Macaca fascicularis: one gene and its partners. The protein of the gene in region 2 purifies or fractionates together with the protein of the main gene of each other region. This does not show direct contact. Links are inferred from orthologs where the notes say so. Each region holds a gene or a part of one and is shown on either strand. Other genes may lie near its edges.

Region 1 (3,574 bases), on a different chromosome or scaffold from region 2:
CACTCCAGTCTGGGCGACAGAGCGAGACTCCGTCTCAAAAAAAAAAAAAAAAAAAAAGTCCAACCATACAAAGAGGTTCATCTGAGCATTATCTATATGGCAATGAACTGAACTTCAAATATATGTAAACTTGAAAACAGCACATATGGCTGGGCAAGGTGGCTCATGCCTGTAATCCCAGCACTTTGGGAGGCTGAGGCGTGTGGATCACCTGAGGTCAGGAGTTTGAGACCAGCCTGGCCAACATGGAGAAATTGCATCTTTTTTTTTTTTTGAGATGGAGAATGAGACTCCATCTCAAAAAAAAAAAAAAAAAGGAAAAAAAGAACAAATTTGGACTAAGATGGCAGGATGAGAATGGATTATTCTTTTCAACATTTTTGTTATATAGTATACTGAAGAGGCAAAAAGCTCTAATTCTCTACATGCTTCATAAATATTCTAACGTGGAAAATGGCATCAGGCATCAGTTGTTATGAAAAGTATACTCACCTGTTTTCCATCCACCTCGATATCTGCCACATAGTTCTCAAACACTGTGGGCACATACACCTCTGGGAACTGGTCCTTGCTGAAGACTATGAGCAAGCATGTCTTTCCACAGGCTCCGTCACCAACAATCACTAGTTTCTTCCGGATGGCAGCCATTGCTGAAACACAAAACACAGATGTTACCTGCAATGCACAAGAAGCCATAGGTAGCTTACAGGCTATGACACATGCTTTGGTAACCACAGGGCATAAGCCTGTATTAGCATACTCAAATTCAAACTTCTAGTACACTGATTCCACCTGGCACCAAAAGGTTATACATCAAAAACTCGTAACTAACTTTATACTTAATGGTAAAACACTGAAAAAAGTCTGCCTCCTAAGATCAGAAACAAGAAAATAATGTATGTTCTTGCTACTTCTTTTTAGATGCAATCTCACTCTGTCGCCCAACCTGGAGTGCACTGGCCCAATCTTGGCTCACTGTAACCTCCAGCCTCCCGGGTTCAAGTGATTCTCCTGCCTCAGCCTCCCAAGTAGCTGGGATTATAGGCATGCACCACCACATGCAGCTAATTTTTGAATTTTTGGTAGAGACGGGGTTTCACCTTGTTGGCCAGGCTAGTCCTGACCTCAGGCGATCCACCTGCTTCAGCCTCCCAAAGCGCTGGGATTACAGGCATGAGCCACCCCGCCTGGCTTGTTTTTGCCACTTCTATCCAGCACGATATTGGAGGTCCTAGCCAGGGCAATAAGATAAGAAAATGAAATAAAAGACATCCAAATTGGAAAGGAAGAAGTAAAACTATCTCAATTCATACACGAGATGATTTTGTAATGTGGGAAATCCTAAAGAAAACTTTTAGAATAAACAAGTTCAGTAAGGTTGCAGGATACAATATTAACACTGAAAAAATCAATTGAGCCAGGCACAGTGGCTCACGCCTGTAATCCCAGCACTGTGGGAGGCTGAGGTGGGCAGATCACCTGAGGTCGGGAGTTTGAGACCAGCATGACCAACATGGAGAAACCCCGTCTCAACTAAAAATACAAACTTAGCCGGGCGTGGTGGTGCGTGCCTGTAATGCCAACTACTTGGGAGCACAAGGCAGAAGAATCGCTTGAACCTGGTAGGCGGAGGTTGTGGTGAGCCGAGATCACGCCATTGCACTCCAGCCTGGACAACAAGAGTGAAACTCCATCTCAAAAAAAAAAAAAAAAAAAAAATCGATGCCGAACACAGTGGTTCATGTCTGTAATCCCAACACTTTGGGAGGCTGAAGCAGGAGGAATGCTCAGGCCCAGGAGTTAGGGACCAGCCCTGGCAACGTAGTGAGATACTGAGAAAGGAAGGACAGAAGCATGAGAGGGGAGGGGAGAAAGAAAAGAAACAAAAGGGCCGGGCGCAGTGGCTCACACCTGTAATCCCAGCACTCTGGGAGGCTGGGATTACAGGTGGAGTGCTTGAGAATCCAGGAGTTCAAGACCAGTCTGAGAAACATAGTGAAACCCTGTCTCTACCAAAAATACAAAAAGATTAGCCAGGAGCGGTGGTGCACGCTAATCACAGCTACTTGGGAGGCTCAGGTGGGATAATCACCTGAGTCCAGGAGATGGAGGCTGCAGTGAGCTGAGATTGCATCACTACATTCCAGCCTGGGGAACCACAGTTGAGACATGGTCTCTAAAAAAAGAAAGAAAAGAAAAAAAAAAAATCAGCCAGGTATGGTAGCATGCACCTCTGGTCCCAGCTACCAAAGAGGCTGAGGTGGGAGGATTGCTTGAGCCCAGGAGGTGGAAGATGCTGTGAGCTACGATTGCACCACTGCACTCCAGCCTGGAGTGACAGAGTAAACCTTGTATCTCAAACTCTTACGACTCAACTACAAAAAAGTAGCTTAGGTTGGTGGTCTGGCTCAAGATCTCTTGCAAGGTCGAAGTCATAAAGAATTCTTTTTGGGCTGGGCACGGTAGCTTATGCCTGTAATCCCAGTACTTTGGGAGGCTGAGGTGAGCAGAACACTTGAAGTCAGGGGTCCGAGACCAGCCTGACCAACCCAGCAAAACCCTGTTTCTACAAAAAATGCAAAACTTAGCGGGGTGTGGTGGCGGACACTTGTAATCCCAGTTACTTGAGAGACTGAGGCAGAAGAATTGCTTGAACCTGGGAGGCAGAGATTGCAGTGAGCCCAGATTGCACCACTGTACTCCAGTCTGTGCAACAGAGTGAAACTGTGTCTAAAAAACAAACAAACAAACAACAAAAAAAAAACAAACTCTTTCCAGCATGAAGTACAGCATGCTATTTATCTATCCATCTATCTTTTTTTTTTTTTTTTCCTGAGATGAGGTCTCACTCTGTCACCCAGGCTGGATGGAATGCAGTGGTGTGATCTCAGCTCAATGCAACCTCTGCCTCAGAGGCTCAAGTGATCCTCCCACCTCAGATTCCCCAGGACCAGGACCACAGGCATGCGCCACCATGCTCAGCTAATTTTGTATTTTTGGCAGAGACGGGATTTCGCCATGTTGACCAGGCTGGTCTCCAGCTCCTGAGCTCAAGTGATCTACTCGCCTCGGCCTCTCACAGTGCTGAGGGATTGTAGGCATGAGCCACTGCCCATCTATCTATGCATCTATCCAATCTATGTATCTATCTAACCTATCTATGTATTTATCTATTACATAGTTATTTTGAGAAAGGGTTTCATTCTGTCACCAAGGCTGGAAAGCAGTGGTGCAATATTGGCTCACTGCAGCCTCTGCCTCTCAGGCTCAACTCAAGTGATCCTCCCACCTCAACCTCCCAAGTAGTAGGGACTACCAGGCTCCTGCCACCACGGGTGACTGATTTTTATACCGATGGGGTTTCACTATATTACCCAGGCTGGTCTCAAACTCCTGGGCTCATGCAGTCCTCCCGATTCAGCCTCCCAAAGTGCTGGGATTACAAGCATAAGCCACTTCACCAGGCCTAAATACAGTATATAGAAAAAATTAAAAAATAAAGAACTTTTACAATTCAATAATAAAAAGACAATCTAATCCAATTCAAAGGATGTGAGTAGGTATGACCCTGCAA
Region 2 (4,364 bases):
ACCAAAAAGTAAATAAATATTCAAAAAAGAATAAACAATAATTAACCCAGTAAAACATTTTAGGTATTCTATGATCTTTTGAGGTTAAATTTTTAAAAAACGATTCAAGGACTATTAAATCAGTGATTTTAGTATTTCGAATTAAGCATGGAAAACAAGCTTAGTTTAGAGATTTTTCTTAAAAGTTTAAAATTTTCTTGTGTGTGTGTTTATTTACTGTCTTTCACTAGCTGTTGTCCTAAATTTGCCCAAAGTGAACTCCCTATTTTCATAGTAACAATGGGAAAAAAGTACAAGAGTTGATAAATAAGAAATGAGAGTGAAGAAAACATAACAAAAATTTTAATGCTTGATATTTTAAAGATTTTGGCTTCATTGATTTAAGGAATTTGCAGATAAGGAAAAATGTTATGGAAAAGGGGAGGCGGTTGGAAATTATCGGGTCAAACACTCATAGTGACAAAAAGTGACAGAAAGGTATTATGCAAATGGTGTAAATTTAGAAACTTCTGTTTAAGTGTTTGTCAACTAAAACAAAATACCCAATAAAGATACAGCTACACAACACCAAACTGACCACTGAATTCAGTTAATCAGGAAGACATTGGTAAGTCTGACAATTCTTGCAACATGTGAATATTGAGAGGAGGAAAAAAGATCTTAAGAAGACAGTTAAATGTATTTTCTCTTCCTCCCTAAACCAGTATTACAACAATGTAAATATCAAAAATTTTCGTCTTCCTCCAGGCCAATACAATTGGGTTCCTCCACAACAATAGTAACTTTAAATTTCTATTTGACGATTTGAATAAAACATATTGATGCGAACAATTATCCAATTATCTTGACCTCCTACAGTAATAATCAAAATCTATTTCACACTAAAACACTAAAACGTGTGAAGTACACTTGAAAGAAATTTGAAGATTCATCTTACATAATTACATTATCATTTTTAATGCCAAAAGTTTCTTTCATTCTCAACACCATGGTTTTAAAATCTTAAGAGTTATGATATGCCTTAAATAAACTTCACCCAAATAAAAAGTTTGCTATGCATTAGAGAATCTAAATTAATGAAATAGAAAAAACGCTAGATACCCTGTTATATTTTTACTGGGTGCCACATTTTTAATTCCATATTTGTCCTGCAATTTGTCAATAATTTCAATGTATCCAGTCAACTTTGTAAACAAAGGCTATACTCCAGGTCTGATACGAGAATTCCATTACATAAAATTTAAAATGGTCATCACTCCCTTAAACAGTAAGCAATACAAGGAAAAATGTCACTACACACCTCTTTTAAAAAGGCATCAAGTTAATATTCATGAAATATAATAAAGCCTTGAGTTTTCAACCTCCCAAACAAGTTTTTACTACAGCATTACTCGAAATAAGGCTATGCATCTTCCACATACAACCAAGGCAACTTTGAGATAGCTTACAAGTCTTTTCATTGTAAGGGAAAGCTATTGCTGCAAAGTCATTTTCTATTATAGTTATTCCAAGTTGCCCGCCAAGAAAATCGAAAAAGCCTATGTCTTGTCACCTATTACCATCACTTAAAAATTGCTTTTTATGCAGAACTCTACATGGTTGTGTTGCTTTTGGCCTGTTAAAGGCAAGGCAACATTATCTCTGGATTGCCAATAGTTTCTCCTTATTTGGCTAACATTGAGAGATCCCAATCAGACTACTATAAAACTTTAACATGCACAAAGCATCCATTTTGAGAAAAGTTTGTGACCAGTCTTTTTTTCTTCCCACCCCCAAAAGAAAAATCAGAGCTTGGTAACCAGCTTTGAAAAGAGTGTCCCCTATTTATTCTTCTCTTTCTAACACCAGTGCACACCCCAGGACCTGGGGCTCAAGATCTCTGACATTGCGGCAAACTTCGAGTATCAGACTCAACACGTTCCGGTCCGGAGGTGGGCAAACCCTTTAGAGGGCTTCCTTACTCTACCCATTTCCATCCCCTTCCTTTCAGCCGGTGCAGATCAGCTAATTACACCCTGTTTTCCCCTCCCCAGTGACCAAGAGTAATAAATGAGAAAACAGGAAATCGTTCGCTCAGGGCACTCGGCTTAGGGCTCTAGATTACTATTATCATCATCATTTGTAATCAAGTCCTCAAAAGTGCAACAAATCCAATGCCTACCTACAAGTCAAAGATGTTCATCTGCCTAAGCGTCCCTAATGCCTCTTGTTAGTTTTCTTCCTTCAGCATCCACCCCTCCGAATTTATCACTGACACGGGGGCCCAGGCACAACCCCACTACACCCCTCCTTGTCTCGACCCCAAATCCCAGACTCATCGCACCAATGGCCCTGGGGCCCCAAGACGACCACAGTTCCTTTTCCCCTGTGCCCCGGAAATCACCCGGTTCCCAACTTCACCAGCAACTGTTCTGAAGGGGGCCTCAAGCCCAGCGCCCTCCCCTCCACCAGCTCTCCCTCCCGCCCTCTCGGGAAACCGCCCCCTCACCCCGCAGCAGTCTCCCGCCGCCCCCAGCCTCAAGAGGTGGAGAACTGAGGGCAGGCCCCGGCGGGAGGCCGACGAGGACCCTCAGGGTCAGGAGAGCCGGCGACTGGGCGCACAGACCTGGTGCAGGGCAGTGAGTCCGTCCACATTGGCGTAATTGATGTCGGCGCCGCGGTGCAGCAGCTTGAGGACCTCGTCCGTGTCCCCGCTGGAGCAAGCAGCCAGGAAGACGGCGCCATCGTCGAACTTCACCTTGGTCTTCTGGCGCTTCACCACCGGAGGCTCGAGGTCCGTCTCGGAGCCGATCCAGCGCTTCAGCTGCTCGTTCCGCTTCTGCTTCGCGTCCGCCATCTTCATCCCCTCTCCTGCCGCCGGGTCTTCTTATCGCGAGGGGTGGAAGGGGGAGGCGGAGAGGGAAGAGAGGGGAGGCAGGGGGTGTGTGAATGTTTCTATGAGTGAGGGCCAGAGGAAGGCTGGGAACCGGGAGGAGACGCTCGAGACTTCCAGTATCCCACAGAGCACTGGGGCGGCGCGCCCGGCCGAGCGGACCTCCCTTCCTACAACAGAAGCCCTCCCGCCCCCAGCACGGCCACCCGTCACCGGCGGCCAATCTAACGTAACTTCGCGAGATCCGGACTGGGAGGTGCCCTTCGACCAGTGCGCATGCGCCCTGGGCCTGCGCCCGCCCCAGGAAAGGCGCTCCCGCGAACTGCGGCGGGGGTGGCTGGGCCACCGGAGGGAAGCGGGTGTGGCCCAGGCAGCGGGGGCTGGGACAGACCTGGAAAGGAGGAAGCGGGGAAGGAAGGTTGTCCTGCCGGGCTGGGGGCTCCCGGTAATCCGGAGGCCAGCAGTGGAACTGCAAGGGTCTACAGGGCAGATCTGCCTCCCGGCCTGTTTCAGCTACGCCGAGTCGTTGGCTCAAGGCGGAGGATTTTCCTATTGGCTGCGTTATTTGAATGGAATGGAGGATAGGTCGTGAAGTAGGTGCTGGTGGTTGCTCTAAGGAACTCAGATGAACTTGGGCATGTCAGAATTAACCTTTTAAAAGTGAGGTCTGTGTAGCCGAGGGTTTTAATGGTAAGTTCTTGAGGTGACCACCTATTGGCCAGGGTTGACCTGCGGTAATTGCGGTGGCTTCCTGCCAACCCCCACTTTAGAAATGTTTTTCCTCTTCTCTTTACTTTTGTTTTGCTTTCTCTCACGCTTGAGTTCTCTTCCTTCAGTGCTTTAAGCCTGTTTCGTAGGACCCATGAGGAGCTTAGCTCAGCCTGATTACTGGTCCTTACCTTTTAAGGGATTTCTGGTTACAGCTCCATCTCTTTCTAAGGAGGGTTAGAGACCTAGCTGCGTCTAGTATTTAAACGGAATGTTAATGAAGGCTATTAATTCAACCACTATTTTTTGAATACCTACTATGAGCCAGTAACTGTACTAGGCACTGAATATACAATGAAAAATATGACATTTATTTGAACCACCTCTTGAGTTCACTTGCCCAAACAAGACTGTAATTTATCATCTTCATAAAAAAAGACTTTAACTTTGCCTTGTATGACCACACGCGCACACACATAGGATTTGTAATACTGATGTCTTATGAGCCATCTATCTACAATCTCCACCAATTGATTTTACTGAACACTATATCGTTATTATCCACTACTATTTTTAGAGCATTTAGAAAAGTCAAAAACCACAAAACCTTACCATGGAAGATTAGGGGTCGTCTAGATTGAGTCCCTCAAGAACTAGATAATTTACTTAATTTTACCCAGAAGTAGGATTAGAATTCACTCAGCAAATACTATGCACCTGTTCTGGGTAAGGCATTGTTTTGGGTGCTGGAGATGGAGCAGTGAACAAATAAGCTTTTCTTACT
Region 3 (4,157 bases), on a different chromosome or scaffold from region 2:
AGGCCTCGATTTGGGAAGGAGGTGAAAAACCCAGAATATTTAAGAATCCCTGGGTAGCACTGTCAAACTAAATATGCTTCTGTAGGATGAAGAAGTACTGAAATCTACTGATAGAATGTGTGCTGAACACAGGACAGAGAGAAGGCTGAAAAAGCCTGAAAGCCACTTGTTTAGACTCGGAGCTCCTTGAGTGAAGAGACTGTGTCTTGTTTTAGGATTGCTGGTGCCTGGCAAGGAGGAGGTCAACATGTTAACGCTTGCTAAATTGAGAGAAATGTGTCTGGACTACAATTCTTACCCCCGCCCCCCAAAAAGGAAAAAAGATTGTACAAAACCAAATACTTAATTTGAATTCACAAAAACAAATTGAATCACTTAGACTATTTTTCCCCCAATGTCTTTTCCAGTAACCTTGCACAACCCACTCGTGAAGTTTAAGTACCTGTAATCATAAAAAGGTGCATCTAATTTAAAAGGATACAAACATTTTAAAACATAAATCTGTTTTATGCCTATAAAATAGATGGAAAATGAAATAAAATATAAAGTTGAGATACAAACATATTTTTAAAATATTTAAATTTACAAGCAAAGTTTAAAATATATAAAATTGGGTCCGGCGCGATGGCTCACGCCGGTAATCCCAGCACTTTGGGAGGCTGAGGCGGGTGGATCACGAGGTCAAGAGTTCAAGACCAGCCTGGCCAAGATGGTGAAACCTCCGTCTCTACAAAAATACAAAAAAAAAATTAGCCGGGCATGATGGCGGAGTGCCTGTAATCCCAGCTACTCGGGAGGCTGAGGCGGAAGAATCGCTCAAACCCGGGAGGCGGAGGTTGCAGTGAGCCGAGACCGTGCCATTGCACTCCAGCCTGGGAGACACAGTGAGACTCCGTGGGGGGAGGGGGGGGGAGAGTAGGCCTCTACTTTCCCAAATGTAAACAAGACATATACATTTTTAAATTAACTGTATTTCTCTCATAGAACAGTTACAAAATACAATTTTTCTTCAAAGCAAATTTCTCAAATACCCAGCAAGACGTTCACATCTGAAACAAAGTCTTAGGTAGTGAACACTGACTGCAGGCACCAGGGGGCCTCCCAGGAATAACTTGATAGTAAAGGAAAAGGTAAATAAGAGTTCCTGGTAAAACTTTTGCTTCCTATTCAGTCTTAAGACTGCTGGATGGCTTTCACTTCTGGAGCAAATATACAGTATTTAGTTACAGAACGGCTACACACAGAACTTGGGTTTTAGATACCGACACATTCGTTGAAAAAAACGAGTTACCCCTCCCCCATTAAAATATTCTTTGATGATTTTCCAAATATAAGTACATGTTGCTTTACTGTAGCAAACAATTATCTTAAGGTAATTTGAAAGCAAACAGTACATATGCAATCCTTCGATGGCGGCTAACAAAGAGGCCTCTAAATTGTTTAAAAGGGATTAATGGCTTTTCTACACACTCACAAAACAATTAGTGATGACGAACATTTTAGGGTAGAAGGACTGTTTGGCATTTAACTTTGAATAATATCCTGCAATGAATCAATACATTTAACTCCTGGCTTTCCCCCCCCTTGCCTTCCCACCAACATAAAACTATTCGATAAGAACACCAGGGCCCGGAAAGTTCAAATGCTGCGTAGACTTGCAAATACCTTTCGAACACAAGACAGGCTTTAAAAATAGATCTTCACTAAGTTGTGCAGAAATTAAGCTCTGCTCAAATCAAACGCAAAAGCCAACATCTACATACATCACATTTCTTACGTGCATCTTCAACCTGATCAAATATTTTGTCTTACAATTTTTTTAGGCCGAATAACAAATGGTAGATAAATTCCCGCTAATTTTATCCTCTCTAAGAAGAATCCATTCTATGGCATCGTGTAAAAATGCAGAGCAGACGAAGCATTCCTGTTACGGACAGGTTTTTATATATATACATAAAATTCACTCGCGGAACGACAATCGGAGGCAGCCAAGGGCAATGCACAAAGAGAGAAGAAACACTGATTCCACGGACACACAAAGCCCGGTGGCAGGCATCCTCTCCCCCTCCTCGGAGGAGTCACCGGAGGCGAGCACGACGGCGCGCGGAGCCCGGCGGCCTTTCCGAAAGGCTGTCTCCCGCAGACCCGCTCCGCACAGCTGCCGGCCGGCGGGCCTGGCCACCAAGGGTCCGCGGGGACGGCCCCCTCTCCCCCGATTTCCCCTGACCGCGCTCCCGGAGGCCGCTCCCCGGCGCCCAGCAGCCTCCTCGCCCCCTCCTCGGCTGGTCTGCCGCGCCGCGCTCCCAGAGACAGCCTCGGGGCGGGAAAGAGGTCCCCTCGCGTTTCGGCGGCGGAGGTGGACGCAGGGGTCGGCGGCGGCGCCCGACCTCCCTCCGTCCCACGGCCCGGCGCGCACTCACCCTCCAGCAGCCGGGTGATGAGGCTGTCCACGTTCAGCTCCCCGTCCGCCATCTTGTCGGCACAGACTCTCCTTCCCAGCAGCGGGAACAAGGGCTTCTCGGCGGCGGAGGCTGCGGCGACGGCTCGGCGTTCTCTCACCTACAAGTCACGCGGCGTTTCGACCCCGGCTCCAACTCCCCCTTTTCCCGGGCCCTCCCCCCACCCCCTCCCCGCTGGGTAGCGAGAGCGCGCGCACACTCGGAGGCACCCACGGAAAATAAATAAATAAACAAGAGGGGCCCCCACAAACAGGGCCGCGTCAGACCAAGGCCGCCACCTCCTCGTCCTCGGCACCGCCCAGCTCCGCAAAGCTCACCAGCGCCGCCGACGGCCCCACCCGCAGCGCCACTCACTCCGCACGTCCCTTGCGCGCCACCGCGTCACGCAGCTCTCCGCGCAGGCGCCCGGCGCGCTCCCCGCCGAGGTTCCCCTCGACGCCTGGGCCTCCGCGCAGCCGCACTGGAGCGGCTTCTGCCGCCGCCGTCTTCGCGCAGGTGCGTCGCCCTCTCTCTCTACGTCCACGGCGCCGAGTTTCGCCGCCGCGGCGCAGGCGCCAAGGAGGTGCCCGGCTTTGCCGCTCGGAGGAAGCCCCGGTTACGCAGAGCGGGCTGGGGCAGGGCTCACCTTCCTCCTCCTCTGCTTCACTGGCGCTTTCCAGACGTGGTGGTTGCACCCTTTTGGCCTCGCTTTCCTTTTCATGGCTTCATACCTTAGATCTGCAAGCAGTTCCTCGTGTTTCTTCCTAGCCGGGAAACGCGAACTGCAGCGTTTGGAACCCGGGTTTGCGCTTGTGAAAAGCAAGAAGGGGTTAACTCTGCTGGAGTTCGACATTGCAAATAAAGGTCTTTACCCCCAGTGGTTCTACAAAATTAGTTCCGCAGGGATTCTGTTTGAAAGAAGAGTTAAAGTGGGCCCTGTAGGAGTCAGCAATAATACAATTTTACATGGGTGCATATGGCTGCCTGTGTTTAGCGCTTTCACACATCTTGTATCTCCATCCACGCCGTGGGTATCTTTTTTTCCACAGTGTGTTTCTGTTGCTGCTTCCAGTATATTGCTTAATCATCCTACCTGGTAATTATTTATGCATTTTTCTCCCACTCTCGACTCAGCTCCTAGGGGATAAAAACACACTAACTTATCTTTGTGCCCACAGCACCCACCAAATATTTCCATCACGTAATACTGCTTCTAGAAAGGCAGGAGGAGAGGCAGTCACGCTAAGGATCTAGGCAAGCCAGATCTTTTGTCCTGTTTTAGGAGGTGGCCAACCCTTACTTATTCCACAGGTGTTTTTCCAGAAACTCAGATCTGATATTGCCCCAAGTCCAAGGCAGTACTTCCCCCACTCACATATCACTAATAGTAGCTAACATTTGTTCATATCCCTGTTATGTGCTGTGCCACTGTTTTAAATGTTACACCCGCGTTACCTCATTTAATCCTTATAACAGCCCTGTGAGGTAGGTACTATTATTATCTCTGCTTTGTAGATGGGATTTACCGAGGCACAGATGGTTAAAAAACCTAGCCCAAATCACACAAATAAGCAGCAGAGCTGGGATTCAAACCCAGGCATGTAGTGCTAGAGTCTGCATTCTTAACAATTGCGATATTCTCCCTCTCCGTGAATGTGGGCTGAGATGCTGAAACAGGCATGTGCTGTGGGGGAGAAGCAGCTTTGTCCAACCAAGTGC

Evidence for each region.
Region 1: the proteins of PPP1R12A (region 2) and RHOA fractionate together in Homo sapiens (co-fractionation; 3 studies listed by BioGRID and IntAct, with this or other methods). This does not show direct contact. The link is inferred for Macaca fascicularis from reciprocal best matches to the Homo sapiens genes PPP1R12A and RHOA.
Region 3: the proteins of PPP1R12A (region 2) and PPP1CB purify together in Homo sapiens (affinity purification with mass spectrometry; 6 studies listed by BioGRID and IntAct, with this or other methods). This does not show direct contact. The link is inferred for Macaca fascicularis from reciprocal best matches to the Homo sapiens genes PPP1R12A and PPP1CB.

Annotation. Positions count from the first base shown.
Region 1 is NC_088376.1:112,372,642-112,376,215, forward strand, and holds part of RHOA (transforming protein RhoA), read right to left. Parts: intron 3,467-3,574; exon of another isoform or gene 3,375-3,466; intron 651-3,374; 5' UTR 649-650; coding exon 493-648; intron 1-492. UniProt on the Homo sapiens protein: Small GTPase which cycles between an active GTP-bound and an inactive GDP-bound state.
Region 2 is NC_088385.1:86,746,204-86,750,567, forward strand, and holds the start of PPP1R12A (protein phosphatase 1 regulatory subunit 12A), read right to left. Parts: upstream 2,859-4,364; 5' UTR 2,843-2,858; coding exon 2,606-2,842; intron 1-2,605. UniProt on the Homo sapiens protein: Key regulator of protein phosphatase 1C (PPP1C). Mediates binding to myosin. As part of the PPP1C complex, involved in dephosphorylation of PLK1. Capable of inhibiting HIF1AN-dependent suppression of HIF1A activity.
Region 3 is NC_088387.1:93,467,721-93,471,877, forward strand, and holds the start of PPP1CB (serine/threonine-protein phosphatase PP1-beta catalytic subunit), read right to left. Parts: upstream 2,855-4,157; 5' UTR 2,814-2,854; exon of another isoform or gene 2,777-2,813; intron 2,768-2,776; exon of another isoform or gene 2,560-2,767; 5' UTR 2,473-2,559; coding exon 2,421-2,472; intron 1-2,420. UniProt on the Homo sapiens protein: Protein phosphatase that associates with over 200 regulatory proteins to form highly specific holoenzymes which dephosphorylate hundreds of biological targets.